Oryctolagus cuniculus: one gene and its partner. The protein of the gene in region 1 binds, or shares a complex with, the protein of each later gene. Links are inferred from orthologs where the notes say so. Each region holds a gene or a part of one and is shown on either strand. Other genes may lie near its edges. The genes, in order: LEPR and LEP.

Region 1 (16,430 bases):
ATATCAGAGTGCTGGTTAGAGTCCCATTTACCCTGTTTCTGATCCAACTTCCTGCTAATATTCTTGGGAAGGCAGTGGAAGATGGTCTAAATACTTGGGTCTTTGCCACCGTGTGGGAGACCAGGATGGATTTCATGGCTCCTGGCTTTGGCTTGGCTCAGATCTAGCTGTTGTAACCTGTTGAGGAGTCCAGCACAGGACAGAGCATCTCTCTCTCTGTCTCCTTCTTTCTCTCTTTTTTCCCTCTCCCTCTCTCTCTGCCTTTCAAATAAGTAAGTAAGTAAATAAATAAATAATTTTTAATAAAATAGAAGACTTCATCAATTGCTCACTGTTTCAAACTAACCTGTAACTGGCTGGCGCCGCGGCTCACTAGGCTAATCCTCCGCCTTGCGGCGCCAGCACACCGGGTTCTAGTCCTGGTTGGGGCGCCGGATTCTGTCCCAGTTGCCCCTCTTCCAGGCCAGCTCTCTGCTGTGGCCAGGGAGTGTAGTGGAGGATGGCCCAAGTCCTTGGGGCCTGCACCCCATGGGAGACCAGGAGAAGCACCTGGCTCCTGCCATCGGATCAGCGCGCTGCGCCGGCCGCGGCGGCCGTTGGAGGGTGAACCAATGGCAAAGGAAGACCTTTCTCTCTGTTTCTCTCTCTCACTGTCCACTCTGCCTGTCAAAAAAATAAAAAATAAAAAAAAAAAATAAAAATAAAACAAATTAACCTGTAACTCTTTAACAGGCAAAATGCAACATTTTAACGACACAAAGTATCAAAGAAGCATATTTGATACAGAACCATAAATATTATGGACTTGATTCTTTTCAATATTTCTTTGCTTAATTTTAATCTTTCTGGGGATAAACCTCAGTTCTGCAATTTCAAGAGTGCATAGAATTGCCAGCTTTTAAATATAAGCCATCACAACAGGGACATAGTCATATTTCCTGGTGGTTTTAATATGTATTTCCCTAATGATTTATGAATGATAATGTTGAGAATCTTTTTATGGACTTTTTTTTTTTTTTTGACAGGCAGAGTGGACAGTGAGAGAGAGAGAGAGACAGAGATAAAGGTCTTCCTTTGCCGTTGGTTCACCCTCCAATGACCTCTGCGGCCAGTGCACTGCGCTGATCCGAAGGCAGGAGCCAGGTGCTTCTCCTGGTCTCCCATGGGGTGCAGGCCCCAAGGACTTGGGCCATCCTCCACTACACTCCCTGGCCACAGCAGAGAGCTGGCCTGGAAGAGGGGCAACCGGGACAGAATCCGGCGCCCTGACCGGGACTAGAACCCGGTGTGCCGGCGCTGCAAGGTGGAGGATTAGCCTAGTGAGCCGCGGCGCCGGCCGGGGGGGATCACTTCTAATTACAAAAGGAAGGGAAATTGACTTATAATGTAGCAGGTCACTTCACAACTATCAGTATATCAATCTTGGACAATAATTTAAGAAAACAGTAATTGGAATATTCTCTGGGGGTCATGGGACAAATACACAGCCCTCACTGAAAGGAGCTTATAGTCTACTCAGGGATATGGACAGTTAAGTAGACAGAGCCACCACAGAGGCAGACTGGAGAACAATGGCCCAGTAACCACTTGGTCAAGCAATGAGAGGAATTCTATCTAAGTCTCCTCTTTTTTCTCTTCCTGTATAAAATATTATAGCTCATATATTAGGATTATTCCCACCGTTTTCCCTTGCCCATTTTCTGCAACGTCACTCTATTTTTTAAAGTTTCATTCTATGTTTCTGTTCTACTCAATATTTATAAGGACCTGGACCTTGAGGGCTGGAGTCTTTTTAATTTATTTTTTATTTTTTGACAGATAGAGTTAGACATGGGAGAGAGACAGAGAGAAAGGTCTTCCTTCCGTTGGTTCACCCCCCAAATGGCCGCTACGGCTGGCGCTGCACCTATCTGACGCCAGGAGTCAGGTGCCTCTCTTGGTCTCCCATGTGGGTGCAGGGGCCCAAGCACTTGGGCCATCCTCCACTGCCCTCCCGGGCCACAGCACAGAGCTGGACTGGAAGAGGAGCAACCCAGACTAGAACCCGGAGCCCATATGGGATGCCGGTGCCGCAGGCGGAGGATTAACCAAGTGAGCCATGGTGCTGGCCCGGGCTGGAGTCTTAAAACAACTACATGATCATCAGGAGATAGGCAGAATGAATTGCTTATGTTCCTCTGCTCTTGGGATTTCAATCAATTAAAAGAAGTACAGCAGGTGCAATTTTTCTAGAACTTCTCTGTTGTCCTCTGTAGAGACATTCATGTCAACTTTTCAGAAGTTAGAAATTTTGATGAAAGTATAAAGCATTGATGAAATAAATCATCAAGGACACAAAAAATGGAAGGATACTTCTTGTTCACGGATTGGAAGGCTTACTATCCTTAATATGTCTATACTGCCTAAAGCAATCTACAGATTAAATGCAATCCCTATCAAAATACTAATGACATTCTTCACAGAATTAGAAAAAACAGTCCTACAATTCATATGGAATCACAAAAGACCCAGAATAGCCAAAGCAATCCTGAGAAAAAAAGATATCAAACTAGAGTCATTACAGTACCTGACTTCAAAGCATACTGCAAAGCTATAGCAATTGAAAAAGAATGGTATTGGAATAAAAACTGACATAGAGATCAATGGAACAGAGTAGAGAGCTCACAAACTAATCAACATACATACAACTAACTGATTTTTGACAAAAGTGCCCAGATCATACATTGGTGATGGATAATCTCTTCAATAAATGGTGTTGGGAAAACTGATGTATATATGTAGAAGAATGTAATTAGATCCCTACCTCTCACCATATACAAAAATCAACCCAAGTTGGATTAAAGCTCTAAATTTAAGACCCGAGACTGTGAAGTTGCTGGAAGAAAAAGTAGGGGAAACCCTTTAATATATTGATGTAAGTGATGACTTCTTGGATAAGACCCCCAAAGTACAGGCAGCAAAAGCAAAACTAGACAAATTGGATTATACAAAACTCAGAAGCTTCTGCAGAGCAAGGGAGACAACAGTAGAGTGAGAAACATCCAGCAGAATAGGAAAACACATTTACAAGCTAATTATCTGGCAAAGGATTAACATCCAAAATATCAGAAAATCAAAAAATTTACCAGAACAACAACAACAAACCCATACTGATTCAGTGAGGAAATGGGCACAAGACCACAATAGACAACACTCAAGAAATACAAACAACCAAGAAATATATGAAAAGATGCACCACATCACTAGCTATCAGAGAAATGCAAATCAAACGTATAATGAGATATCACCTCATCCCTATCAGAATGGTTGTTATCCAAAAGAAAGAGTAACGCACGCTGGCAAGGATGTAGAGAATGAGGAACTGTTACCCGCGGTTGGTGGGAATGTAAAGTAGTGCAGCTACTGTGGAGAACAGTAAGGAAGTCTCTTAAAAAACTAGAAATAGACTTGCATGTTACCCAGCAATCCCAGTACTTGGTGTATACTCAAAAGACTTGAACACAATGTATCAAAGAGGTACCTGCACCACCAAGTTTACAGCAGCACTGTTCACAATAGCCAAAATATGGAATCACCCATAGTGTCCATCATCAGATGAATAAAGAAAATGTGAATATACACAATGGAATATTATTCAGCTACACAAGAGAATGAAATTCTACCATTTGCATCAAATGGATGCAAGTGAAGGACTTCATGTTGGGCGAAATAAGCTGGACACAGAAAGACAAATACAGCATGTTCTCCCTTGTATGTGGGAGCTAAAATTAAAAAGAAAATTAAAAAAAGAAATGCTTGTGTATCAGTATTGCAGCAAATATAGTCTTGTAAAACTTGTTTTATATCTTTGTCAAACCAATGGTTAAAATAATGGAAATTCTATTTTTTGAACATTGGTAACAGTTTAGGAAGTTTTTGTTGCCATTATACACACCCGAACTGAGAATAAGTGCCTGAGGCTGTCCCTGGACGTTTGGAACAGTGTAGAGCAGAGCTGGAAGGTGGCAGTGATGAGAGGCATGAGCAAAGGCCACGGATTAGAACGTCACCTGGTTGTTTGGGGGACTGGGTAATTGGGGTAAGGGTTCATGGAGAGGAATGGTTACTGGGCTAGAAAGTTAGGTGGAGCCAGATTAAGATGGGCCTGGGAATTTGGAGTTTATGCTGTTGGCAACAGATGACCAATCAGCTTCTCTTGAAGGAACATAGGGCAGGAATCACAAGTTGCAGTGAGACATTTGACATTTACACCTAAGCTTTCTTTCCAGAAAGAGCATGGCAGACTAAATTAGTTAAGTATATTAATGCATTGGGTCAAGTTAGAATGAATGTTTTCTGGTGAATGATCAGTAGTATAATAGGTAACAGTGTGTGTGGGTGGGTGGGTGGGTGTGATATACATACATAATTTTTCTAGCTGGGTTAAGCTTACCTGTCTGGGCATAGTAAGAAGAGTTCCCAGGGGCACCCCATCTTTACAGCAATCAGCAAACACTGTAGCTATCCTCATTCTCCTTCCTCCCTCAGTGCCTCTTCACTCTCCAAGGATTATTGGACCGATCCAGAGCTGCCGAAATGGAGAAACCCAGGTGCGATATATGCACACTGCACACAGCTGTGATATTTGACCTGAGATAAAGCCAGCGTCAACAGGAAACCTTTTAAAGCGAGACATACGGCCAACACAATGAGAAGGGTTATTCTGGGAGGAAATTTCCCCCTTTATGCCTGGTTCTCTTTCCTTAGGCACACTGGCATCCTTCGCCTTAAATTCTAGTCTGTGGTTTTTATTTGAAACTCTCCAATCCCACTGGGCTACTAGTTGAGCATACTCCTCCCTAAACAATAGCACTGTACTTCAAAATGTCACTGTGCTAATGTTGGCATTTTAATACCTCAAGAGAGGCTGGAAAAATGACTCCTTGTCCACCACCATCTCCAAGGAGATCAAATATCACCTCAGGATTTACAGTAAGCCCCTCTGGTAAATGCACAAAAATCAGAGGCCAAGAAATTGGCAGCCACACATTTTAAGTAGGATTTTATTATTTGTTGGCTCTTCTTTACTAACAGTGAGTTGAAGTTAGTACTTTTCTGACTCCCATCTGTTGGTTCTAGTTCTGCCAATGAGGGCAGCTGAGAGCATTTTATATATGAAAACTTATAGTTATATATTATATGAAAGAGCATTTATTAATAGTAGCAGCTATTAGTATCCTTGACAGAATTGTAAATGAATAGTGTAAATGTCTAGCGGGCCCCTTCCCAATCCCTGCTGCCTTCCCAAATAAGCAAAGGGACATTGGAATTTAAGGGATATAGTAGTGATGATGTACTACTGATAATCCAGTGTTGTTTGTGACTTTGCTGATAAGATTTATAATTAAAATCTCTTATGTATATATGATAAGAATTAAAATTTATATGAAAGATAAACAATGAATATTCCCAGTATCCAAATGAGTGTTTTCTCTATCCAATAATTGGCATGGTGGGGCAGTTCTATCTGATTTCAAAAATGCCTAAAATATTTTATAATAAATGGATTATTTGAAGTCAAGGATTATTTGAAGTCAAGTACAGTGAATAAAGCAGATAGTCATTTGATGGCAGCGTGGTTCCTACAGAGGAACTCCAAAAGGTGTCCTTATTAGTGACAGTAAGGAACAACACTCATGGTGGTCGATAAACAAGTAATGCAGGCATATTTTATAATGAAACTTCCCTTGCTGATTTCATCATTCCTAATTTGCCTCCACATAAGGAGAAGCAGACTTAGGGTAGGATGCATTTATTTGCTCCATAATTGTTTCTTGAGAATGAGAACATTTTCTGGGCTGGCCACCAGGAGTAAGATGGAGAACACCGTGGGATTGATCCCTGTCTTCATAACTGTACAGTGATAGGTTTTACCATCCAGATATGGAAAAAAACAAAAGCAAATCTGTAAGGCAAATGATTGGAAATGTTATCCACATTTTCTAGTTAAATTTTTACTTTTTCCCAAAACATCATCTTGACAACAGTGTAGTCCTGTGAAATATTCGAGAATGCGGCAATGAATCAGTGGCAGGTCTTGTGCCTTTACAATGTTTGTGTTGTTCATGACCTTTGTGCTTGAATGCTTTTGTCCACGTGGCCAGTAAAAAAAAAAAAAAAAAAAAAAGAAAAGATCTGATTGACCTGTTTTCCCAAAAGACCTTTGACTGAATCTTTGATGGACAAACAGAGAATCATTTTTTCAAGAAGGATCTACTCACAAACAAAATTCTATATGCCATGCTTTTAAAGAGATGAGGACCAAAGATGAAAAAAAAAAAAAGCTGAAGTGAGGGACTTAGTTGAATATTTTTTTAACTTTTTGCTTGTAGAGGTGATGTAACATATTAGGAATTTAACTTGAATTCTTTTTTTTAAAGATTTATTTATTTATTTGAAAGGAAGAGTTACAGAGAATAGAGGGAGAGAGAGAGAGAGAGAGGGAGAAAGAGAGGTCTTCCCTCTGCTGGTTTACTCCTCAGATGGCTGCAAAGGCTGGAACTGTGCTGATCCAAAGCCAAGAACCAGAAGCTTCTTCTGGGTCTCCCATGTGAGTGCAGGGGCCCAAGTACCTGTGCCATCTTCTGCTGCTTTCTCAGGCCATAGCAGAGCACTGGAACAGAAGTGGAGAAGCCAGGACTCGAACTGGTGCCCATATGGGATGCCAGCACCGCAGGCAGCGACTCTACCTGCTACACCACGTTGCCGCCCCTAATTGAATTTTTTTCTCTGATTTAATGACCTAAAAAGTTAGACAGCGCTAATTCATTCAGCAAATACTTATTGAGCACTTACCATGTGCCAAATCCTGCATTCGGTTATATTGTTAGGAAAACAATATAAAACTGTAATTTTATACTTTAGTTAGAAGCAAATTTATAACCACATAGGTAAACACAAAACTACACATTTTGAGATGAAGAAGGAAAATGGTAGAACAGAGGGATCTAATGCAGACTGCAAGGTAGTCAGGATAGGTTTGAAGAAGTGACATCTTTAAGCAAAGACCTAAAGGCTGAGCAGAAAACGGCCTGGTCAGGGGTTAGGAGAGGTGGGTATAGGCCTGAAGAGTGGCAGGGGGCACAGAGCACACTTTGACTTTCATACATTGCATGTTGTGAAACTCTTACAAAGGCATGTAGGATCTTTGTCCTTAGTGTGCTGTACATTGAGATTTAATGCTATAACTAGTACTCAAACAGTATTTTTCACTTTATGTTTCTGTGTGGGAGCAAACTGTTGAAATCTTTACTTAATGTATGCTAAACTGATCTTCTGTATATAAAGAGAATTGAAAATGAATCTTGATGTGAATGGAAGGGGAGAGGGAGTGGGAAAGGGGGAGGGTTGCGGGTGGGAGGGACGTTATGGGGGGGAAGCCATTGTAATCCATAAGCTGTACTTTGGAAATTTATATTCATTAAATAAAAGTTTGAAAGCAAAAAAAAAAAAAAAAAAAAAAGAAAAGAAAATCTTACAAAGGCTGTAATACAAATGTAGCATCCTGTGAAATTAGAAAAATCTCATAATTTTACCTGTCTGAGCAGAAATGTGTCAAGAGGAGAAGCTCAGAGAATCAGATTTCATCCCTCTACAAACAGAATGCACCAAATACTTCCGTGAAGCTTGAGGTTCGTTTGCAATTACTCTTTCATCCTTCCAGAAGAATCTCCAAATGTTGGTAACACAGCACAACTCCCCGCTCCCTGCCTTTGTAAATAAATACACGACGCTAAAATCTGTTTCAAAAGCTAAAGCAAAGAGCAACTCAGGTCTCCAGAACATCATGTAAATATGAGGCATGATCAATCTTTCTTTAAAAAAAAAACAAGGGAGAAAATCATTCACCAAAGACGTGTCAGCGTGAGGTAGTAAAACAGAGCAGCTCAGGCCAGATGCTGGAATTAATAAACAGGGCTGTCATTTGCAAGAGAGAGTGGAGTGGCCAAGGACGTTAGCATGCAGTGTTTGTCCCTTCACTTTTTCCCATCCAACTACCCTGATTCCTCTGGGTCATTTAGCTCTGGCTGTAAGTAAAGATGACATATTCTTTTATTTCTTTTTTAGAGAATTAATTTTTATCTGTCTGAAAATTGTTTGCTTATTTATTTAATTTTATTTGAGAGAGAGAGATATTTAGACAAAGATGTTCCATTTGCTCGTTCATTTCCCAAATGTCTACAACAGCTACGGTTGTGCCAGACTGAAACCAGCTGCACAGAACTCAATCCAAATCTCCTCTGTGGGTGACAGGGACCCAGCTATTTCAGCCACCATCTGCCGCCTCCCAGGGTGTGCATAAGAAGGAAGATTGAATAGGAAGTGGAGCTGAGATTGCAATGTGAGTGTTGCCAAGAGTCTCGAGTCTTCTGTTAATAGCATTTGCTTCTAAACAATTACAGCAGCCTATTGATTAATATATGAAGTTAGGTTGACTTTACCCCTAGTTTCAGCATTGACTAGCTATCACAATCCAGGCATTCCTATTCTCAAATTATCAGTTTTCTCATCTATAGCATAAGGAAGATGGTGTTGATGATGTACAAATTTTTTAGAATTGTGAGAATTAACACAATGCATTTAGAATGTTTAGTGAGGCTGGCGCTATGGCACAGTAGGTTATGCCTGTGGCCCCGGCATCCCATGTTGGTGCTGGTTCTAGTTCCAGCTGCTCCTCTTCTGATCCCACTCTCTGCTATGGCCTGGGAAAGCAGTAGAAGATGGCCCAAGTCCTTGGGCCCCTGCAACCATGTAGGAGACCTGGAAGAAGCTCCTGGCTCCTGGCTTCAGATTGGCCCAGCTCTGGTAGTTGTGGCCATCTGAGGAGTGAACCAGTAGATGGAAGAACTTTCTCTCCATCTCACTGTCTGTAACTCTATCTCTCAAATAAATAAAGAAAGAAAATCTTCAAAAAACATAGAGTGCTTAGTATGATGTCTGGCCCTGTGTTTAATAAATGGTATTATTATTTCTTTATTTGCAGTAAACTAAACTAAAACAAGTATGACAGTTATCCAGATTTCCCTATATTCTGTGTTCATAAATTTGAATTTTATATAAAAATTAAGAAATTTAAAAATCTGTGCAAAATTTTATTATGGCTAAATTTCAGGCAATAATTCCAGCCAGAATTCTTGGTTCTGTCATTCAATATTTTTTTTTTTAAGGGAAAGGGTTTATTGGGAACACCCTACAGACTGGAGTGAAGGGGCGGCGAAGGAAAAAGAGAAGGAGACTGTAAGAGAGAGAGACAGAGAGGAGGAGAGGAGACAAGAGAGTGCAGGAGAGAAGGGCCAAGAGAGCACGTGTTCAGGAACAGGCCCTTTTAAAACTCTGCCTGAGGGCAGGCAGGGAAGCAGGAGCAGCGAATCCCATTAGGATGGGGGTGGAGCCTGGCTCAGGTAGCTGGGCCATGTGGCCACCTGGCTAAAACTGTGCCAGTTTCCTAACATTCCCCCCTTTTGTTTTTTTTATAAAGCAGGATTTGTATGGGGTTACATTAGTCCCAAAAGTCCAGGAGGGGTAGAGGGACGATGATCTGTCTTTAGAGCTACTTCCTGCTGACATGGGGCGATGTCTCAAGCTGCTGTCTCCTGGTTGGGGAGTATATTCCCGTAGCAGCATTTGGTTGACCACCTGATTGCTGAAGGCCTTCGTTTGTTCCATTATCACCTGCTATAAACACTTAGACACTGCAGTATAGAAGACAGGGTGAGAATAGTAACCAATGATCCTAAGAGTAGCATTAACCAGGTAATAAGAGGATTTTATAGAGAGGAAATGGAGGGGGTCTTTGGACCCTTGTGGGGACAGTTTGATGGATGTGGCTTAAACTGATTCCAACCAAGACTGGGAAAAAAGCCACTTAACTTTTACAGGTAGTGGGGTTTGTCTGTAGAGAAATTTTGAACAATCATACAACATTAAGTGGGGGAGAGGACCATTAGTACACACAGGTTGGGCAGGTTGGGAGTAGAGCCATTGGTGGTGATGTAGAGGTTATGATTACAAAGGAATGAAACCCAAGCAGGCTAGACAGGGTCTAGAACAAAGGACAGAGTCATTATTAGAGGAGCTAAGAAAGGTTCTGTCTAAGCTACATAAGTTTTCTGATTGAGAGGCAAATAGAACCTGACAGAAGGGGCTCGATAATAATCTGGTGGGCTTTAGGCCTTGTAAATTAAGAGGCCCAGACCTATCTCTTTACATAGGGTACATCCTAAGGGAGGTGTGAACCTCCTTGGGGAAGGCACCCTGTTGACTTCCATTACCTAGCTGGCCAGGGAGGAGAGCTGGCCAGGTAAAGGCAGGTGGCAACTCCAACAGGAAATATACAGCTCTGCCTGCAATGTTACTGACCCTACTTGGCCATTTCCTCAGTTGCAGTGGTCACTTTGAAAGCTGGGCTGAGTGAAGGGCTTTTCAGCTTAGAGCCAATAAGATCTGTGGCTCTGACCTGGGTGTCCTTCGACTCCAGGGCAGTTCCATTTCCACTGATCCAACTCTTGGCAGAGCTGCCAGGGCTCTTCACAAGCTGACTTCTGCTGAAGCCCAGGCTTACCACATTGAAAGCCGCTGCAATGGACTGGCCTGTTGGGTCTCCTTGAGGGCAGATCACTGTACAGAGCAGCCATTAACAGGCCTGCCACCCATTGCTTCTGATGCCTAATGTCCAATCATCATGCCTGATGTCCAATGCCTTCTATAAATTTTAAGAATACATATATTTGGAAACATTTCTTAAATATCTAATATGATGTAGCTTGTTTAACCAGCAAATTTCAGCACAAGCATATAAAATGTTTCTAGTTTTTTCTACCAACACATTTAAAACATATGATACAGATATTCAGGTCACACGAATTAAAATGTATCTTTGAATTATTTTAGCTGTTTAAATTTATGGACAATCTTATCTATAAGCCAATTAAAATAAAATTCTTAGTAAATTTTCCCATGTAGACATATAATATGTATACACACACAACATAATAGATAGAACAATAAAACAGTTTTAATAGCTTTTTTAAAAATCTAACTCCTGTTTGTAAATTACCAATTGATTTGAATTACTTTTGTTTTAGTAACCTCAGCTAACCATACGTTCTCACAGTTGGTACCTTTAATATATTATTGGCTTCATCTGTTTACAGAGTCATCCCAAAGTACTGAATACAATACAAGTGGCTGGAAAAAGTTCATCAAACCTATAGGAAGACAGCTAAACACAGAACCAACAATGCTTTAGTTTTATGAGCAACAAATCTGATATACCAAACTGTGGATGACAAAAGACTTTAAGTTGCCACATTTAAAATTATAAATTCATTAACCAACAAGAGGCACTTGCTTACTGCACACAGTATTTCTGAAAGCAGGATTTTACAAAGCATGTAACTCTTTTAGGCCTCTGGGGCTTTCTCATTAAGATAACCATTATGTCTAGTAACACAAGATTATTAGACTTTTTAATTCTCAGACATTTGTATTAGTGCCATTTTATATTATAGAAACTTAAAATTTAGCACCACTTCACATCTTGACAGTACTTCTAATATAGTCCAAATAGCCCGAACTGGAAAAACCAAAGTCAAAAATTTACTGGAAATTTCAGAGTCCAAATTCTTTGAAACTTTGATTTTTGATTTTTTGAATGCCTGTCAAGAATATCAAGAAGGCTCAAAATCCAAAATATCTGGTTGAAGTAAGATTCTTTAACATCATAACATAATATAGACCAAATTGGATCATTGTTACAAGGTAATTATTTAAATGTCTGAAAATAAGCACATATTTAAATAAATTATAGCTCTTAATAAAAATTTCAGCTGTTTTTAAACAATTAGAATTTAACAGACATCAAGAGAATATAATAATTACTTTAACACATTGCTTTAACAGAGAATCAGATCTTAATTTTATGTCAAAGAGAAACAGATGAGTATATTTGTGATGTTTTCCATCTGCCAATGTCCTTGATTTACATTTTGAGATAAGCTGTTAAAAATCTTCAAATTAAGATTAAGGTAATGCATCAAGTTTTAGCCTGAGTTACTTTAAACAGTGTTGAACTATTTTCATAGACAGTTTGTAAACTAATCCGAATAGTTTTTTTATAGAATATAACATGTTGAGTATACAAAAGTTTTACCCAATTTAAATTAGCAGTTACACCTAAATGACTTAAGATGCTGATATCTCATATATCTGAATTTAATTAAAATTAAAATTGCATTCATCTAAGACAAGTACTAATTACCCATTGCTGTTTCATTGAGTACTGATTACCCAGAAACCTGTTAAAATAAATTGCAAAAGAAATTCAGCATTTTACAAAGCAATAGTTTCAAAGGTAGTGGTATTCCTAGATTTAAAGAAAAATTACAGTGAGCCAGGTCCACACAGGAAATCTGATTTTTCTGTCTGGCTTGCTCATGATAAAACAAAAGAGCCATCAGAATGGTGGGATACCTAATTTGTTTCTCAATAAGCAGGGAGCCCAAAGGATGGGACTACCATTCCCTTGCTATTCTTATGGTAAGACTGGGACAAGAGAGGGACAAAAGACCAGTTGGAGACCATGGAGACTGCTATTCCCAGAGATAGTAGACTTTGGGCCAGGACTGGTTCTAAGGTGGGAGGGGGAGATATCATGAGAATGGGGGTAGGAGCTACGGAGGAAGTACACGTGGGCAGAGAATGGCTTTGAGAAATAGTTGAGCAAGGGGCTTCAGATAGGACAGAAGAGGTTGACACCACCCCCTGGAATTCAGCAGGAGGGGGAGGTGAGGACACAGCTGCCACAAGGGGGATAATGGCGCTGGAACTTCAGCCGCTGAGGCCTCAGGAGGCGGCTGAGCAGGTGCCTGTAGATTGGAGCAATAAGGAAGTTCATCTGCAGGATGACAGGATCAGGGCAGAAGAAAGGATTTTTTGCTCAGGCTTCTGCCCCCTAGTGCGAATCTTGGAGACCAGAAGGACTTGAGCGGGAGAGCAAGAAGTACATAGGGAAAGTTCAGTTCGAAGATTAGGAAAAGGCTTGAACATATAGAATTTCCTTCCATTTTCCCAAATGCTCACAGAAGTGTTAAAGGTCCTGAATGATATCAGGGTCAAAGGTACCGTGGAGGGGCCATCCCGGTTGACCGTCAAGGTCATACTTGGGCCACACCCGATTACAGAGAAAGATTAGGTGTCTCTGCTTGAGGGCTGGGGCCAATTTGAGAGGGACCATATTACTTAAAAGGCAACCAAGAGGAGAATCAGATGGAATGCGGGAGAAATTTCCCATGGCGACTCAGTAGGTCAGATCGGTGGACAGCAAGTGTCCTTGAAGCCCTGGCAGTCTGACTAAGAGAAGAATGGGAGCAGAAGGCAGGGTCGTCACCCAAGTGCCCACTGGAGCCCAGGGCCTAGCCTGTAAAGAGGCGAACAGAGATGGAGTCGTCACTCGCACCCACTGTTGCCTGGACACAGTGTCCGTAGAGGCTAAAGGCCTTAAGTAGAAGTAAGAGTGGTGGCTAGAGTCCAGTGCTACGACCTTTACGAGAGTATCCAACAGTAGACCACCACTCAAATAGCAGTCGCCGTGAGGAATTTTCGTTCCGCATCTTACCTCAAAATTTGGAAGGCCGATGTGTGGATGGAGATTGCAGACCATTCTGTGGCTTGGAAAGAGTTCCAGAGGTGTGCTTTGTGACCAGCAGAAATCCAGGACCCCAGAGCAGTGGAGGATGCTGGATTACCAATATAAGGCTATCTGAGTCACGGCACCAATGTTATATCTTAATGTTAGCCGTTGCAAAGCACACCGGACACCGGAGTAAGGGAAAGGGTTTATTGGGAACACCCTACAGACCGGAGTGAAGGGGCTGCGAAGGAAAAAAGAGAAGGAGACTGTAAGAGAGAGAGACAGAGAGGAGGAGAGGAGACAGAGAGTGCAGGAGAGATCTGTCATTCAATATTTTATTAGACCTTTCCAGTTTTGTGTCATTTGTCGAATAAACATAATTAATTAAACATAATTTCAATATCCCCAAGTGATTAAACAGAGAAGTCAGTATTCCCATTTGTAGGCACTGTTACCAGGGCTGCATGTGTGTTTCATGGCTTCATTTTGAATTTCCCCTGTGCTTTTCTGTGAGTATCCTACACTTCTTTCATTCCCTAATGATCCCTTGAGTTTTAAGCTTCCCCTGACCTATGATTCTGTAGATTGCCTGATATTGACATAACTGAATCTATTAGCTAACTTCTATAATAGAAACCAGGATAGCTGGGGCTTGGCAATAGCTTTTCCATTAATGTATTTAAGCTTTCTGCATGACTATATTTTTATACTTGTAAAATTGAGCAAATATTTATCATTTCCTACCTTTTAATGATATTGTGAAGATGGATTTAAAAATATACAGGAACATTGTGTCCTTTTTAAAAAAACATTTATTTATTAATTTGGGAGGCAGAATTACAGAGACAGAGAAGGAGCGACAGAGGGGGAGAGATCTTCCACTCTCTGGTTCACTTCCTATCAAATTGGCTTTGGGCCAGGCCAAAGCCAGAGGCCAGGAGCTTCTTCAGGGTCTCCCACAAGGGTATAGGGGCCCAAGGACTTTGGCTATCTTCTGCTGCTTTCCCAGGTGCATTAGCAGGGAGCTGAATCAGAAGTGGAGCAGGGGGCCAGTGCTGTGGCACAGCGGGTTAAAGCACTGGCCTGCAGTGCTGGCATCCCATATGGGAGCCGGTTTGAGTCCCAGCTGCTCCACTTCTGATCCAACTCTCTGCTATGTCCTGGGAAAGCAGTAGAATATGGTCCATGTCCTTGAGGTCCTGCACCCATGTGGGAGACCAGGAGGAAGTTACTGGTTCCTGGCTTCGGATCAGCTCAGCTCTGGCCCTTGCTGTCATTTGGGGAGTGAACCAACGGATGGAAGACCTCTCTCTCTCTTTGAATCTACCTCTCTCTGTAACTCTGTATTTAAAAAAAAAAAAAAAAAAGAAGGAGAGCAGCCAGGACATATTCCGGATGTTGGTGTTGCGGGCTGTGGCTTTAAGCCACTGAGCCACAGTGCCGTCTTGAACATTGTGTTCTTAAAATTTGTGACATACCACATATAAAAAAGTTTCTCATCTACTTACTCTCTAATTAGCCAAACAACTAAGTATTAGCAAAAGAAGTCACTGAGTAAGCAGTGTATGTGATACCAAATTTACATATTTATCACATGCATTTCACTCATAGACTCATTCTCAATTACAGCCTATCATTAATACACATCTAACAAACTTGGTTCTTTTAGTAGAGGGAGAAAATGGAAAGAGACTGCCAAAGGCAGGTAGATTAAGAGTGGCAAGAAACAGTCATTTTAAACAAGCTGGAACGGCCATTTGGGCACACTAGTTAAGATGCTGTTTGGGAGCCTTCATCCTATGTTGGAATGCCTGGGTTGGAGTCCTGCCTTCGCTTCCAAGCCCGCTTCCTCCTACAAATGTGCATCCTAAGAGACAGCAGGTTGTGGCTCAAGTAATTGAGCCAAGCGGGAGACCTGGGTTGAGTGCTCAGCTTCTGACCAAATCTGGTCCACTCCTGGCTGTTGCAGGTATATGAGGAGTGAACTAGCGGGCCAATGAACTTGCTCTCTCTCTGCCATTCAAATAAAATGAAGATAAATAAAAATCCAGTGGATGAAGGGAATTATAAAAATAGAAACTCAAAAATTAGAGAAGTCTGAAGTCCTCTAAGTAATGAGAAAAGTAGCTTTGAAGAGTTAAGTAGGTTCCAAGAGCATCACAGAATCGTAGCTTAGTACTATCATTGATGTTCAAAATGATCACCAATTCTTGTGTTGGAATTCTTTGTTTTTGCATGTCTAGCTTTCGTTTTGCTCTGTTCTGGAAGCAGTACTGTGATTTCTCCTTCAGTGAACTGCCCTTCCCAAGTAGTACTTGGGTCCAGAGGAGGTATTTCTTCTCTGGACAAGGTTAAGCCTGTGGCCTGTGCCAGGCCAGTCTTCTTCTTGTGAAAATTTGGATGTTGACACAAGCTGCTGGGCTGATTCACCCATATGTGGTACTCTGATGAGATGCTGCAGTCTTTCTTTCCATCTAAAACTCTGACCTTTTCCAGATTGGGTGTCTAATTTTTTTTTTAATTTGGGGGACTATTCTAAAGCATTCTTTTAAGATATTTGTTTGCTTAAATTAGCCAAAGGTACTTGCAGGCTGTTCACAACTGAATGATTCATGACCGTCACAGATTCACCAAATGAAAGGCTCAATTTTGTTTCATATTCCATGTTTAAAGATCCACAGACAATTGTAATAATAATTAAAAATATTTCCATCCAACTTTGCTAAAATAACATTGAAAATTTTACCATTAAAGCGATGTT
Region 2 (15,357 bases), on another chromosome or scaffold:
CGGTCTGCATCAGGACAGCTTTGTGTTTGCAGGTGTTTGAGGGTCCTTGTGTTTTGTTTTATTGTGGCATCGTCTCACCCACCCAGCCTGCTCACTGGCCCTTCCACCATCAGTCCCCAGCCTTACTGTCTGTGACATAGCCACCTTCTGTGTCTGTTGGCTGAGAAGGTTTTCCTGTTACTGAAGAAAACAGGCGAGTTGAGGGTGGGTGTTGGAAGCAGTGGTTACGTCACTGCTTGGGGTGCACTCATCCTTCAGTGGAGTTCATGTTCATGTCCTTGCTCCTCTGCCTCTTGGGAAAGCAGCAGATAGGACGGCTCAAGGACTTGGGTCCCTGCCGCCCACTGGGAAACCTGGGTGGAATCCTAGCTCCTAGTTTCAACCTGGCCCAGCCCTGCTGGTTGTGAGCATTTAGGGAGTGAACTGGGAGTTGGACATTCTCTCTCTCTCTCTCTCTCTCTCTCTCTCTCTCACGCTCTTTCTCGTCTCTCCAGCTTTCAAATAAATGAGAGGAAAAAAGAGACAACTTCTTGGGAATTCCTTCTGGGCAAAAGTGAATTCTAGGCTGTGGCTCCGATGGGAGTAGGTGAGCCATCATAGAGATGAATTAACCTGGTCAGCCCTGGAGGACCCACAATGGGAAATACGTCATTTATTCATTCAACTAATATTTAAGGAACACCTGCTCCAGACCCTTGGTAGATGCTGGACAAGCGCAGGCATCAATAATTGGCCATGGCACCATCTCCCTCTGAGTCTGGCTGGAGCCTCAAATTCCCCTATACTAAAAATTGATTAGAGCTGACAGAGGAGTTGAAATCCATTTGCCATCCTCAATGAGATCAGACCTCAGGGCAGCTCCTAAGAATCTATAGCCCTACTCACTTCCTGGCTGCTAGGTAAGGAGATTATCAGGATTTCTCAAATGCTGCTTTGGGTTACAGAGAAGAGAAAGCCTGCTCACGGCAGCACAGTGCTGTTCAGATGGTGTGCTGTGACCAACGTTTGAAAAACAACCGGTACCTTCTGGGCCACACCACCCGTTCCTCTTTCAGGTGTATCTGTCTGTTAAACAAAAATACATTCAGAAAATCAAAAGCTGCTCAAGTAAGAATTTTGTGGGGAAATATGGAATCTAATTTCATTTTGGTGCACAAAAGTTTGAAATCCATTCACGGATTTTTTCATAATATGCATTTGCTATGAACTTTTGAAGTACCCTTGTGTGCATGGGTTTCAAAATGTTTTTTCACCAGGATGAACCTATCTCTTAATTCCATTTTCCATGAACTTAAAATATTTATTTATTTTCAAATAAATAAATATTTATTTATAGAGTCAGAGATCTTTCATCTACTGATTCACTCCCCAAATGCCTGCAACAGCCAGGGTTGGACTAGGCTGCAGCCAAGAGCCTGTCACTCCATCCAGGTCTCCCATGTGGGTGGCAAGGACCCAAGTATGGGTCCATCAGTGCTGCCTCCCAGGGTACATGTTAGCAGGAATCTGCATCAGAGGTGGAGTAGGCAGGACTGGACCCAGGCACTCTGATATGGGATACGGGCATCCCAAGTAGTCACCCAGCAGCTGAGCGCAAAGCCTTTGAGGTCCCCTCGTAAGTAGGAAGGAGTATCTTCCAGTGAGGGCTGAGGAGGGGGGCGTGGCCTCGGGGAGGTGGCGCAGGGCCCTGCCGGACCTGCTAGGGGCAGGTGGGGGTGTGAGTCGCCTAAGGATCAGTGCAGGGGCAGCGCCAGCCAGGACCCGGGTGAAGTCAGAGAGCGGGACACTGGCGGGGTGGGCGGTGCCTTATGGGAGTATGAGCCTCTCCGGGCTTAGCCTGTCCTCGGTGATGCTGCTGCCTTTCTCCAGGTGGTCCCCGGGGCTGCATTTGCTGTTCTCTCACTTTCTTTTTTTTTTTTTTTTTTTTTTTTTTTTTTTTTTTTTTTTTGACAGGCAGAGTGGACAGTGAGAGAGAGAGACAGAGAGAAAGGTCTTCCTTTGCCGTTGGTTCACCCTCCAATGGCCGCCGCGGCTGGTGCGCTGCGGCCGGCGCACCGCGCTGATCCGATGGCAGGAGCCAGGATCCAGATGCTTTTCCTGGTCTCCCATGGGGTGCAGGGCCCAAGCACCTGGGCCATCCTCCACTGCACTCCCTGGCCACAGCAGAGGGCTGGCCTGGAAGAGGGGCAACCGGGACAGAATCCGGCGCCCCGACCGGGACTAGAACCCGGTGTGCCGGCGCCGCTAGGCGGAGGATTAGCCTATTGAGCCGCGGCGCCGGCCAGTTCTCTCACTTTCTGTCCCCCTCAAACCCACGGCACGGGTGACAGGGGTTGGGGGAGTGGCGGGACCTTGAGTAAGGCCGCCTGCGGCTGACAGCAGCCTTTCTGCCCACCCAGCCGCGGCCACTGTCCTCAGTGGTGGTGCCCCCAGCGCTCAGGGCCTCCTCTACACCCCTTTCTTGGGCAGTGTCCCCCCCCTTCAGCCTGTCCCCAGGCCTCCTCTCACCTCTCTCCATCCTCCTGGTCCCCCGGAATGCAAACACCTGCTGGCTCCCTGGCCTTCACAGCCCCGCCCTGCCGGGATCCTTCATCTCCTCGACCCTCGGGGCTGTCCAGCGTCTCCCAGACCCTCACAAACCCACTTGCTTCCGATTCTCAGGGCCTTTGGCAAATGCTGCCTCTTCTATGGTGCCTCCCTGGTTCCTTCTCCAGAAATCGTGGTGATGAGAGCTGACAGGTGTTGAGCTTGGCCATATGCCAGGCATAGAGTCAATACCTTTTGTGCTTTATCTCATTCTTGCCATAGAGCAGCCACAGGTGGGGATTCTGATTTGTATTATCCCCAATGGACAGCTAGGGAAACTGAGTCTCGGAGAGATTAGCTGACTCTTCCAAGGTCCTGTACCCTGACTCAAACACAATTCTGTTGCATTCTAGCAGGTTGATTTCCTTCCTGGGTCCCTCATGGAATTTTACTGCTTAAATGTTCTTCCTTCCATTATAGTTCATTATGTAAATTTCTTTTTCTTTTCTTTTTTTTTTTTTTTGGAGCTAGAGTGTGTGTGTGTGTAAAGAGTTATTTATTTGAAAGACAGAGTTACAGAGAGAGAGGTCTTCCATCTGCTGGTTCACTCCCCCAAATGGTTGCAATGGTGGAGCTGGGCCAACCCGAAGCCAGGAGCTTCTTCCAGGTCTCCCACTCTGGTGTCAGAGCCTGCGCACATGGGCTGTCCTCCTCTGCTGCTTTCCCAGGCACATTAGGGAAGCTGGATGGGAAGTGGAGGAGCCAGGGCTTGAACCAGCACACATACGGGATGCCAGCACTACAGGTGGTTGGTTAACCCACTCCATCACAGCGCCAGCTCCCTTCAAGCAAATTCTGAGACTGATTGCTTAAGAACTCTGCTTTGGCTTTTGCTTTTATTTTTGCAGACAATCTATATATGTATACGTAGTTGGCAAAGTCAGATGATGTGCCCCTCTACCCAGGCTTCCAAGGACAAGACCTGGCCTCTGACCCGATCTGCCCCAGACCTGCCTCCCGCTTCCCAGGGACTTTCCGTCCATCTCTGCGCCTGGTCTAGGATGGACGGTTGCTGCATGGCAGCTGCTGGCCCTAAGCACGTGCTAAGTCCTCGTGCTCCATGGGGCTGTGTTTGCTGTCTTGAGTCATGGCTCCGGTCCCTGGTCCCTAAACCCTGACCTGCTAGCCAGCCCCAGGCCATCATCGGGCCCCATGGGGACTGAGATGCAGGAGAACCGAGGCAGACTGCTGTCCACTCCCCCCTGCTGGCCCTAGCAGGGGACATTAGCTCAGTCAGCATAAAGCGTGGCTGTGTTGAGCAGAGTTCCAATAGGACAGCGGCTCTCGAGGCGAAGGCTGTGTGTCTCGCACAGTACAGCACGGCACGGCACGCACCCAGTCAGGCAGGCTGACTCAGCGGCCACTTCTCCATTCCTGTGATTGATGTCCATGTGGGCTGCTGGAGGTTACCAGTGTGAGGGACGGGCTGCCCAAGCTGTTTGTCCATTCAGGTATCAGAGGGGACTGTCGTTATGTGACCGTGACTAGGACCGGCGCTAATCTGGCAAGAGATGCACTTGGGAAGCAAGGGGTCATGAACACGTAAGTCTTAGGAAAGGAAGTGGAGTAGCCAGGACTCGAACCAGTGCCCTTATGGGATGCCGGCACTGCAGGCCGGGGCTTTAACCTGTCGTGCCACAGCGCCGGCCAGTGCTGCCATTTAAAGAGAGCAAACAACACAAAGCATTCTCCCAAACTACTTAGTATTTTTCACAGTGGAAGTTGACGCAGAGGGTGTGACTTCACAGTCTCAGCCTAGAGAGGATGTGAGCTGCCAAGCCCCGTGTTCCCCAGAGCCAGCCTGGATGAGGGATTGGGGTGATTTGTAATTGGAGAAGCAGGTGGGGCGCAGGGAGCCCACCAGCCTGGCTGCCCAGGAGGCCCCGAGTCCAGATCCTGGATGCTCCGTGTGGCTGTCTGCCACTGGGGAGACTGATTCGGCTTCCTGAGCCTCCTTTATCTCTCCTCTGTAAAACTGAAATCGAAACGCTTACCATTGTTCAAACGTGGCGACTAAAGCTCCATACGCCGTGTTTATGTGTGTTACGTGGCCAGAAAATGCATCAAACGGATGTTGCCACCTATGGACGGAAAATGTAGCACCTGCTTCCTCTGGGTCCAGAGGCGGGAGACCGTGGAAAGCCGGGACGAGCTTTCGCCATCTCCGGCTCCTCCGTCCCCTTATTTGCTAGCATCTTGGTTTTGTTTCAGGCTCGCGCACGGGCTGCAGACTCACGCGCACTCAGCTTGATTGCCTTTTGCCTCGCGTGTCTCATTAAGTTCCAGCAAGGAACTGCACATTTTTACTTTCGTGATTCGCGCCTCCTTGGCTTTGACAGTTTAACGCGCCGGGTGCACGTGTGGTTCTTCCCACCTCGGACCTCGCCCCAGCTGGCTGCTCAGCTGCCTGTGGCCACCACCGTCTGCCCTCCCCGACCGCTGCCCTGGCTTTAAAGCCCAGCTCAGGTGACACTTTTTCCAGGGAGCCCTGTTTGCTGTCCCGTGATAACTCTTTTTTCCCGCGTGGGAACGGCTTGTCTGTGTCCCCTGGGATGCGCTAACTGAGCTGGCATCATGGCACAGTGGTTTAAGCTGTCCCTTGAGATGTCACATTCCATACTGGACGGAACGCTTCCCATCCGGCTTCCTGCTAATGCACACTCGGGGACACAGCAGATGATGGCTCAAGGACTTGAATCCCTGCCACTTAAGAGGGAGACCCAGAAACTGAGTTCCTGGCTCCTGGTTTCAGTCTGAGCCCCAGCTCTTGGGGAGTGAACCAGCAGATGGAATAAGTCTCTCTCTTCCCTCTCCTTCTGTGTCTCCCTCTCCCCCTACCTCTTTCCCTCCCCCTCCTTCCCTCTCCTTGCCTTTTAACATATATATGAGCCTTTGGGAGTCGAGAGCACCTGCTGTCCACTGCATCCTTGGCGCCCAGTGATGCCTCTGACATATGCCTCACCAGATGGTTCTAAAGTGCTGGCTGGGTGAGAAAGCAGGTGAGAAAGGCCAGGGCCGAGAGAGCAGGGCTGCCGTGAGGGCCTTGGACAGGACAAGGCAGCCCCGTCCTCGCCAACAGCAGGCGGTGAGAGCACATTTCTCAGCGCCATGGAGCCCCTTCACGTGCATTTTTTTCCAAAGAAAACCTTTTATTTAATGAGTATAAATTTCATAAGTACAACTTCAGGAATACAATGATTCTTCCCACCATACCCGCCCTCCCACCCACACTCCCACCCCACCTCCTCCTCCCTCTCCCATTCCCAGTCCATTCTCCATGAAGATTCATTTTCAATTAACTTTATACACAGATGACCAGCTGTATACTAGGTAAAGATTTCAACAATTTGCACACACACACACACACACACACACAACTGTTTGAAAATAAGTTTTACTCTCATAATACAAGTTAACTCTCATAATACAACTCCTTGAGGACAGAGGTCCTGCATGGGGAGTTAGTGCACAGTGACCCCTGTTGTTAATTTAACCATTAACACTCTTACATATGACGTCAGTGATCGTGTGCATTTTACCTAAATTGATGCTCATAGAAGCCTGGAGATGGGCCCATCACAGGGATGAGGGTGGAGTTTTTAGTCACTCTGTGATGTGCCTAAAGCTGTTCTTTAAAGATTTATTCATTTGAAAGGCAGGAGATGGCCGGCGCCGCGGCTCACTAGGCTAATCCTCCGCCTGTAGCGCCGGCACACCGGGTTCTAGTCCCGGTCGGGGCGCCAGATTCTGTCCCGGTTGCTCCTCTTCCAGTCCAGCTCTCTGCTGTGACCCGGGAGTGCAGTGGAGGATGGCCCAGGTCCTTGGGCCCTGTACCTGCATGGGAGACCAGGAGGAGCACCTGGCTCCTGGCTTCGGATCAAGACGGTGCACCAGCACACTGACCACAGCGGCCATTAGAGGGTGAACCAACGGAAAAAGGAAGACCTTTCTCTCTCTCTCTCTCTCTGTCCACTCTGCCTGTCAAAAAGAAAAGAAAAAGAAAAGAAAGGCAGGAGAGACGGAGAGATCTTCCATCCACAGGTTCATGTTCATTCTCCAAATGGCTGTAATGGCCTGGGCTGGGCCAGGCTGAAGCCAGGAGCCAGGAACCCCATCTGGGTCTCCCACAAGGGTGGCGGGGGCCCAGATACTTGGGCTAACTTCCTCTGCCTTCTGAGGCGCATTAGCAGGGAACTGGATTGGAAGCCTAACATTCAGATGTGGGACGCCAGTGTCACTGGCAGTGGCCCCCAACGCTGTCCCCAGTGTGCCTGATGTTATGCAGTGTGAGTGGTTAGATTCAAACCAGACATTAACAGCTTTTCCCTTTGCCTTGAAGCAACCCTGAAGTCTGTGCTGTCACCACCAAGTGCATTTGGTCACAGTCGGGCTGGCTGCTCTGGGGGCCTGCGGGACACCTCGCCGTGGTTTTATGGACCGGACAAGAATCTTCTTCCAGAAGGGACGCATTTCATTAATAGACATCTAGATAAAGGCTCAGCTTTGGTGCAGAGGAGAAAGTAGCCAGAGTACAAAGCAGATCTCAGTTCATCCGCGCTAGGCAGTGTGGCTGGTAGTGGGCAGATGGGCACAGTCTGAGCTACTGGCCTCTGTAATGGGTGGTGGTTCCTTCTGCCTTCAGGCCCGAGAAACACATCCTGGGAAGGAAAATGCGGTGTGGACCCCTCTGCCGACTCCTGTGGCTGTGGCCCTGTCTGTCCTGTGTTCCAGCTGTGCCCATGCGGAAAGTCCAGGATGACACCAAGACCCTCATCAAAACCATTGTCACCAGGATCAGTGACATCTCACACACGGTACAGAGGCTCCGGGGACCAAGCAGGACCGTGGCCGGAGAGCACCCTCCGAATGCCAGCGCCTCCTGGCAGTTGGGGGAGGTTTAAAAGCATGGGGCTCCTGTTCAGTCTCTCTGCCTGCTGGGCTTCGGCAGTGAGCGAGTGGTTCTGATGCTAACCCACTCCAAGGGCGCTGAGGTTTGCCAGGTGTTTCTGTGAACGGATCGCAGGAATCTGATATCACAAGGACGCGTAAGGCAAGCTGGGTGCAGAGGTTAACGGAGGGACATATGGTGACACCCTCAGGCTTTGCAACCTTTGCTCTTCCTGCTGCACGAACCACCGCCTCTGCCTGTCCCTTCTCCCGTGGGCTTGCCCGCTTCCTTCAGTCCTGGTGCCTGGGGCTAGAGCAGCCTCCAAACCTCTGTCACCGGGATTCTCGCAGGGGCAGTTGGACTAGCTCTGCAAGCTTCTCTCTGCCCTTTCACTCCTGCATTTCAAGGCCACGTGCAAGAGCAGGGCGACCCTGGTTCCCATCGGCCCATGCGGCTGCACCTGGCTTTCCCTGGGCTTTCCTCTGGGGTCCACAGGCCTAGCCCTTCGGCTGTTGCCTCGAGGAGATTTGTCTGTGGAGTTAGGAAGACTGGCTGTGAGTCTTCCACATCTGCTGTCTGTCTGAGATCTTCAGCTAGCTCCAAAACGCCCTTAAGCTCTGGCGTGGTCATCTGCATGATGGCGATCAGATCATCTTCCCAAGGTGATTATCAGCCACTTACATGACCACTGGCACATGGTCACTGTAGATGTTTGAAGTGACTGTGGGTGGCCAGGAGGTGCCAGAGGGGCAGAAGCAGGGACAGCTCAGCTCCAGACAGAATCTTGGGCATTTCATAGAGAGAAACCCTTAAGTCTCCTGCTTTCAAAACAGTCCCTCCACAAGGCCGTCCCAATGTAGCTGGTGACAAGACTGAGTGTCAGGCCTTGAGGACTGGTAGAACCCCCCGGCAGCCAGAGCCACCGGAGCCGAGGAGGGAGGGGGGTCCCCATCAGGGGTGGCCTGGACCCCTAAGGAGGTGGGTGCATGAGAACCTGAATGGGAGCCTGCAGAGGGAGGGAGGGAATGAGGGCAGCAGCGGCTGGGGGTGCTGACTGAGGAACCCAGATGCTTGCGAAGAGGCTAAACTCAACCAGAAACATGGAGATGCGGCTGATTCTTGCGCAGGGGCCATTTGGAGAAAGGAATGACCAGAGAAGGCCGGTCTGGAAGTGGAGGAAGCAGTGGGTGGGAAGGGTGGGCATCCAGGAAGCCAGGGGTCCCTGGGCACAGGAAGAGGGCACCTGGGCCAGGTGGTGAGGAGGGAGGCAGAGGTGACGCGGAGAAGGGGTCTTCAGGCTCTGGGGAGCAGAGAGCCTTTCAGATCCACGTCTCTCACGCTTGCTCAGCGCTTGTTCTGCGTCTTCTTCCCACGCAGCAGTCGGTCTCCTCCAGACAGAGGGTCGTCGGTTTGGACTTCATCCCTGGCCTCCACCCCAACCTGAGCTTGTCCACAATGGACCAGACGTTGGCCATCTACCAACAGATCCTCGCCAGTCTGCCGTCCCGAAATGTGATCCAAATAGCCAACGACCTGGAGAACCTCCGGGACCTTCTGCACCTGCTGGCCTCGTCCAAAAGCTGCCCTCTGCCCCGAGCCAGTGGCTTGGAGACCCTGGAGGGCCTGGGAGGCGTCCTGGAGGCGTCACTCTACTCCACGGAGGTGGTGGCCCTGAGCAGGCTGCAGGGGTTCCTGCAGGCAATGCTGCAGCAGCTGGACCTGGGCCCTGGGTGCTGAGCCCCTGGGGGCTGCTCTTCCCCCAAGGACCACGCTGAGGAAAGAATCCTGCTCCTAGGGTCCCCAGGACAAGAGAGCCGCATGTGGACGTCCCTTCTCAGCACTCTCTCCGTGTCTCTCGCACTCCTCCAAGCCCTTCCAAAGCACAAGACTCCATCTGGCTTAGAACCAAAGATTGCTCTGCACACCAAGAAGGAGGGGGATGCCCCTTCCAGCAAAGAGCAGGCTTCAGTCATCAGCAAGAGCCATGCTGTCTCTCTCTCTCTCTCTCTCTCTCTCTCTCTCTCTCTCTCCCCATCCTCCAATGGGATCCAGAGAGCTTCAGGCTGGGGGCGGAGCCTTTGGACCATCAGAGCAAAGCTCCCCCTGGGAATTCTGGGGAGCGGCCTGAAGGCTACATCCACACGTGGCTGGAAACGCCCAAGCAGCCGTGGTGGGGGGCACGTGTTTATTTATTACGTGTTAGATTCCGAATGGACCTGAAGCCAAGAGTCAACTTTTCCGGGCTCTCTGGGGTCAGCCAGGGCTGAGCATGCTCCTGGGCTGCGGCTTCCAGTCCCGGCGAGGGGTCTGGCCGAGGCAAACCCTTGTTCAGTGACTTGAGGGCTGGGGTTGACCGGGCAAGGGGCCACCGAGGTGGCTGTCATGTTCGGTCTCTGCTAACTGGTGTTGTGTCTACTGTGATTGGCTTCGAGTGACAGTGTTTGCAATGGCATTGCCCTGAGTGGATCTCCAAGGGCTGGGTTATTTTTAGAAGCAGGTTAATTTCGGCAGGTGTTGTGTGTAGTTGTGTGCACCTGCTGGGGGTGGGATGTGTCGGTGGGGGAGGGGAAGGGTCTAGACTGGGTTTCCTAAGTGATGCATGTTTGGTGGGCTCTTTGGATGGGGTGAGGTCGTTTCCTTATCTTCTGCAGCCACTTAAGATGGTTTTCTTGAAAATAACAAAAGAGGCCGCTCTTTGAAGGGACTTGTAAGGATTTGCACGTTCCTTTGAGGGAGGGGGCTGAAGGTGGAGGCTGCTGGCTGGGGCAGCTGTGAGCTCAGACAGCAAGAGTCCCACGCCACACCCTCCAAATGAACAGTTCACAGGTGGCCCCGCTCTGGGTTTACAGCATGGCTGTGTCCCTCTGTCCCTATCCGGGGGTTGAGTGCCAAATTATAGTTCTTGTCTGATTGGTTCATCCACAGCAAGGTCATGTTCCCTACCCATTCCATGGGGATTCTTATTCCAGTGGGAAAGGGAAATCCTTCAGCAGGTGGTCCTAAGCAGTGGGCCAGAGCGTTTGGGTGGGTGCCAGAACGCCAAGCCAGGCGTCATCCTGGCCACTGGAGGTCAGGTTCGCAAGGATGAACCAGGAGGCTTGGGTTTTTCCACCATCCTGCTGCCATGATGCTGCCGTCACACCGTGGGTGGTGGATCTGTCCAAGGAAACTTGAATCAAAGCAGTAAACCTAAAGACTGAGCACCTGCCCCGTGTTCAGCCCTGACCGGTGCTGTGAGCTAGGGGAAAGCTCACCAAATAAATGTGCAAATCCAATCCTGCCCTAAGGGACCTGACGTTCCCACGGCAAAACCCCACTTGCTGGTTGCCAAGGCGATGGTCCACCACGGCAGCCCACAAGCTGAAAGCACAGTGTGGCCCCCAGCAGGTGCCATGTGGAGTGATCCGAGAGTGGCAGTGCCCGGGGGCCCACAGGGAGCCCTGCATGTACTCTGTAGCTTGTGTAGACTTTTAGGACACTGCTGGACCTAGTGCTGTGTAGCCACATCTTTTTTTTTTTTTAAAGAGAGATTTATTTATTTATTTTTTAAACTCAGAGTTACAGGAAGAGAGGGGCAGAGAAAGAGATCTTCTGTTCGCTGGTTCACTCAGTAAGTGGCCACAACAGCCAGGGCTGAATCAGGCGAAGCCAAGAACCAGGAGCTTCTTCCAGGTCTCCCACGAAGGTGCAGGGGCCCAAGCACTTGAGCCGTCTTCTACAGCTTTCCCAGGCCATCAGCAGGAAGCTGGATTAGAAGTGGAGCAGCCGGGACTCGAACGGGCGCCCAAATGGGAGGCTGGCATCGCAGGTGTTAGTTTTACCTGCTGCGCCACAACATTGGGCCCTAACCACATCCTTTTGGAGCAGTATACCTGAAACTTTAAAAACAAGAAATGACAGGTTGAGTGTTCCTAATTCAAGATGCTTAGGACCAGAAGTGGTGCACACTGGATTTCAGAATATTTGCATATGCATAATGAGACATCTGGGGGATGGGATCCCCAGGTCCAAACACCATATTCATTCATGTTTCATATACTCTATACACATGGTCTGAAGGCAATTTTACATAATGCTTTTAATAACCGTCTTAGACAAAGCTTCATGGCGTGGCATTTTCCGCTTGTGGGATCATATCGGTAGGTGCTCGGAACATTTCAGCTTTGGGAGAATTTTGCATTTTCAAATTCAGGATGTTCGACCTGTCCCTAGGACTGTAACAGCCAACAGGTGGCAGGAGCAGGTCTGGAGCCCAGAGCGTCCCTCACCCCGGGTAACGCTCTCAGGGCAGGGGACACGGGAATCCTTTCTGTATGTGATCTTAGTCAAAAGGCTGAGAAGTGATGGGAGTGCTTTCTGGAAGAGAGACATTTTGCAGGTGCTGAGGGAGGTGAGTTCGCTGCAGGAAGGAGGTGGTTTTGTTGGACGCTTGGTGTGTGCAGGTGCATGGGTGTAGGAGACGGTGGGAGGTGCAGAAGAAAGAAGTAGGAGGGAAAAGGACATGTTGAGGGGCAGCTGAGGGCCGCAGAAGTCAGATGGTCAGACAGCTGGGACTCGCAAGTTCCGGAGCAGAGGCTGGGTGGTGGCCAGGGTGGAACCTGCCCAGAAAACCGTGACTTAGGTCATTGCTGCCTCTGCACTGGGCTGAGGCGTCTCCAGCTCTCTGCTCTCAAAACCTGGCACAGTGTGAAACTCCCCAAATGCAAGCGATTGTCTTCCTTCCTTTTTTTTCCCCCCATAATTTAAAAATGTTTGTTTTACTGAAAAATAGATATTTAAATAAATCAACTTCGCCCCCTGGTTTTCGTTTGCTGTCGCCTTTTGGGGTGTGTGGGGGCTTCAGGAGAGCTGTTTGTGTGTGACAGGGCAAGGCCTGGCTGGTCTGCAGCCATCCCTGGGGTCAGCCCCGCCCGGGCTTGGCCACAGCCAGCTGCTGGTTATTCAGGCGAAAGGATTACCCCGGCGGGCGCGCAGAGCTGGCCAGGGAGCTTGGCCTGCGCCAGAGGCGGTGAGTGGCTGCAGATCAGCCCCAGGCAGCACCAAGATACCCCCCACCTGCACCCACTAAAGTGCTCCCCCCATCCCCGCCCGCAATCAGCCAGACGGAGAGCGTGCAACCCAATCACAGACCCAGCCAGGTACAGAGGGCAGAAAAGACAGAAACCCAAGGCAAAATGACCTCAAATAAAAAGAGAATGGACTGAGCCACGTGGCCCAGAAACCCAGGCCCTGCCTTCTCTGACGGGTCTCTCCTCTGTACCTCTGTGGTGGTGCCCAGGGTCTCAGACACGCCTTTCTCATCAGTGGTGCCCATGAACCCGGTCGGCAGGGCTCTTACCAGCCAGGCCTTCATCATGTGGCCATACCTGTTGCCAAGGAGGGGTTGGGAGTGGGGAAACAATGAAACTCCTCCTTCTGCCTGAAAACTGTCTTTGGCTCTGGCCCCAGCATGCCTTCCAGAATGATCCAGAATGATCCAGAATGTGCCCCTTCCCCTCTTCATGATGGATCTTCCCACACTGGTGATCAGCGCTCCCACCTCTCCTGCACTTCCTGAGGGGTATCATCTCAGAAATGACTTGAGATGGCTGTGTACCACGCCCAGGGTTGTAGAACTGTTGAGCGCCAGAGTGGGGACTCCAGTCCCGGTCGTAGGCCCCAGCACTCCAAGTGCATCCTTAGGGACCCCCACGGGCCCCAGCCAAGGCCTGACAAGTCCAGTTGCGGCGTCTACAGGAGACAGAGCAGCCTGGGGGTGCCCAGTGCGGTACCCACCCCACATTCCCCTGCCACCTCCCAGCCCTAACTTTCTCTCTTTCTGTTTTTAAAGACTTACTTATTTACTTGAAAGGCAGAGCAACAGAGAGAGGAGGAGAGACAGAGAGAGGTCTTCCATCTACTGGCTCACTCCCTAAATGACCACAACAGTCAGGGCTGGGCCAGGCTAAAGCCTGGAGCCGGGAACTCCACCCGGGTCTCCCACAGGAGGGTGGCAGGAAGCTGGATTGGAAGCAGAGCAGCCGGGACTCCAATCGGTGTTCTGCTATGGGATGTTGGTGTCACTGGGGTGACCCCTAACTTCTCTTAAGCATGGGGGAAATGGCAGCAAAGAGGACTGCGTCTATGAGTTGGAAAAGCTAGAGTCCCTGGCCAGATCCCAGAGCACCCAGAGGATGGGGCAAAAAGGGCACTCTGAGTTAGAAGCATTCTGTTCTAGGGCCAGCAGGGTGGCCCTGCAACACTGGCATCCCGTAGGCAAGCACTGGTTCGAATCTGGGCTGCTCCATTTCTGATCTAGCTCCCTGTTAATGCTCCAGGGAAAAGCAGCAGAAGGTGGCCCAAGAGCTTGGGCCCCTGCACCCATGTGGGAGACGTGGAAGCAGCTCCGGGCTTTGGCCTGGCCCAGCCCTGGCTGTTGTGACCATTTGGGGAGTGAACCAGCGGATGAAAGATCTGTCTGTCTCCACCCTCCACCCCACCCCCACCACCACACTGTCTTTCAAATAAACTTAATAATAATAATAAAGTTATCTGTTCTGACTTTGCGTGACTTTGGATGGTATCTCTCACTGCCACTCAGATTAGCCCACGTGTTGTGCCCACAGCATCTCCTTAAATCCCGCCAGATGGATGCTTGCAATAAGGAAACAAGGGCTAAGCCAGGTTCACTCTGTGTCCTGGACCAGCCCCGCTGGCACCAGGACTGAAGCCCTGGCTCAGCACAGCCAGCTCCTGAGCCGTGGCCTCTGTCCTCACCCTGAGAGTGACGGCCAAGGGCAGGCCTGTAGGGTCCTTCTGTTCTATGAGTCCCTGAAGGTGACATCCAGGGAGAGAGGGTTGGGAGTGGCAGTGTCCAGGGGTGCAGGGCTGAGCCAGGTCTTCACCCCCAGGGCCCTAAAAAGGTGCGGGAGCCGTGATCCAGCCCAGTCGCCCACCTGCCTGCCATGGGGCGGGGCTTGGTGCCGCATGAGCCCTTGGCGGGCCATCTGGGACAGTGGAGCCGCTTTGCTTCTGAGTCTGGAACGTGGCTGAGAGCCGCGTGGGGAGACACGGAGGCCTCTGTGGAGGTGACTCCCAGGCCCTTCAGGTCCCAGATCTGCCTCTATTTCAGGGTTCTCTCGGGCTCCCCTAGGGCAGCAGCTCGCCCCTGCCAACAGCTGGCAGCACCTGGCCACACGGACCCTCCAAAGGCGTGGCTTTGCTGAGCTGGTGCAGAAGCAGAGGCGGGGCCAGCACAGCAGGCTGCCTAGCTCTGCTCACAGCACACAGCACACAGCCAAGGAGCGCACACCCCTTGTTACTCCAAAAGAGAGAGAACGGTGTACTCCAGGCCGTAGCAGTGGGGTCAGAGCCCAGAGGTGTCCCCGGAGGGGGGGGGGGCTGCCAACTTAGCCTCTCACTCCTGAGGATGATGGGATCGGGGAGGCAGAGCAAGGCAGCAAAGCCCCTGTGCCCCAGCACCCAGCCCAGACAGCGCTCAACCCTTACGCAGTTTCCGCAGCCTCTCAGCGTCATTGTGTCCACTTCACAATGAGAATGAGTCCTTGGGAAGATTTGATGCTAAAGCATTTGGGAAGATATTAGCCCAATGCCTGGCATTGCCACTACTTTTTTATTATTTGTTTATTTGAAACGAACAGTGACCAAGAGCAAAAGAGAGAGAGACAGACACACACAGAGATCTTCCACCCATACTTACTTACTTTATTTATTTATTTGAAAGGCAGAGGGTTAGAGGGAGAAGGAAAGACACACACACACACACACACTCAGAGAGAGAGAGAGAACTTTCATTATCTGCTGGTTCACTACCCAAAATGCCTGCAATGGTCAAGGCTGGGCCAAGCCGAAGTCAGGAGCCTGGAGCTCCATCCTGGTCTCTC

Evidence for each region.
Region 2: the proteins of LEPR (region 1) and LEP are in contact, whole or in part, in a crystal structure (PDB 7Z3R), measured with the Mus musculus proteins. The link is inferred for Oryctolagus cuniculus from reciprocal best matches to the Homo sapiens genes LEPR and LEP. Residues at the interface, in NP_666258.2 of Mus musculus: Tyr439, Leu440, Thr441, Arg466, Ser468, Leu469, Tyr470, Gln499, Pro500, Ile501, Phe502, Leu503, Leu504, Ser505, Val560, Phe561, Glu563, Asn564; in NP_032519.1 of Mus musculus: Lys26, Val27, Asp30, Thr33, Leu34, Lys36, Thr37, Thr40, Arg41, Gln92, Gln96, Asn99, Asp100, Glu102, Asn103, Asp106, Leu107, Leu110.

Annotation. Positions count from the first base shown.
Region 1 is NC_091438.1:107,180,376-107,196,805, reverse strand, and holds the start of LEPR (leptin receptor), read left to right. Parts: upstream 1-7,937; 5' UTR 7,938-8,068; intron 8,069-16,430. UniProt on the Homo sapiens protein: Receptor for hormone LEP/leptin. On ligand binding, mediates LEP central and peripheral effects through the activation of different signaling pathways such as JAK2/STAT3 and MAPK cascade/FOS.
Region 2 is NC_091434.1:164,680,978-164,696,334, forward strand, and holds the end of LEP (leptin), read left to right. Parts: intron 1-482; exon of another isoform or gene 483-586; intron 587-7,228; 5' UTR 7,229-7,256; coding exon 7,257-7,400; intron 7,401-8,851; coding exon 8,852-9,211; 3' UTR 9,212-12,274; downstream 12,275-15,357. UniProt on the Homo sapiens protein: Key player in the regulation of energy balance and body weight control. Once released into the circulation, has central and peripheral effects by binding LEPR, found in many tissues, which results in the activation of several major signaling pathways.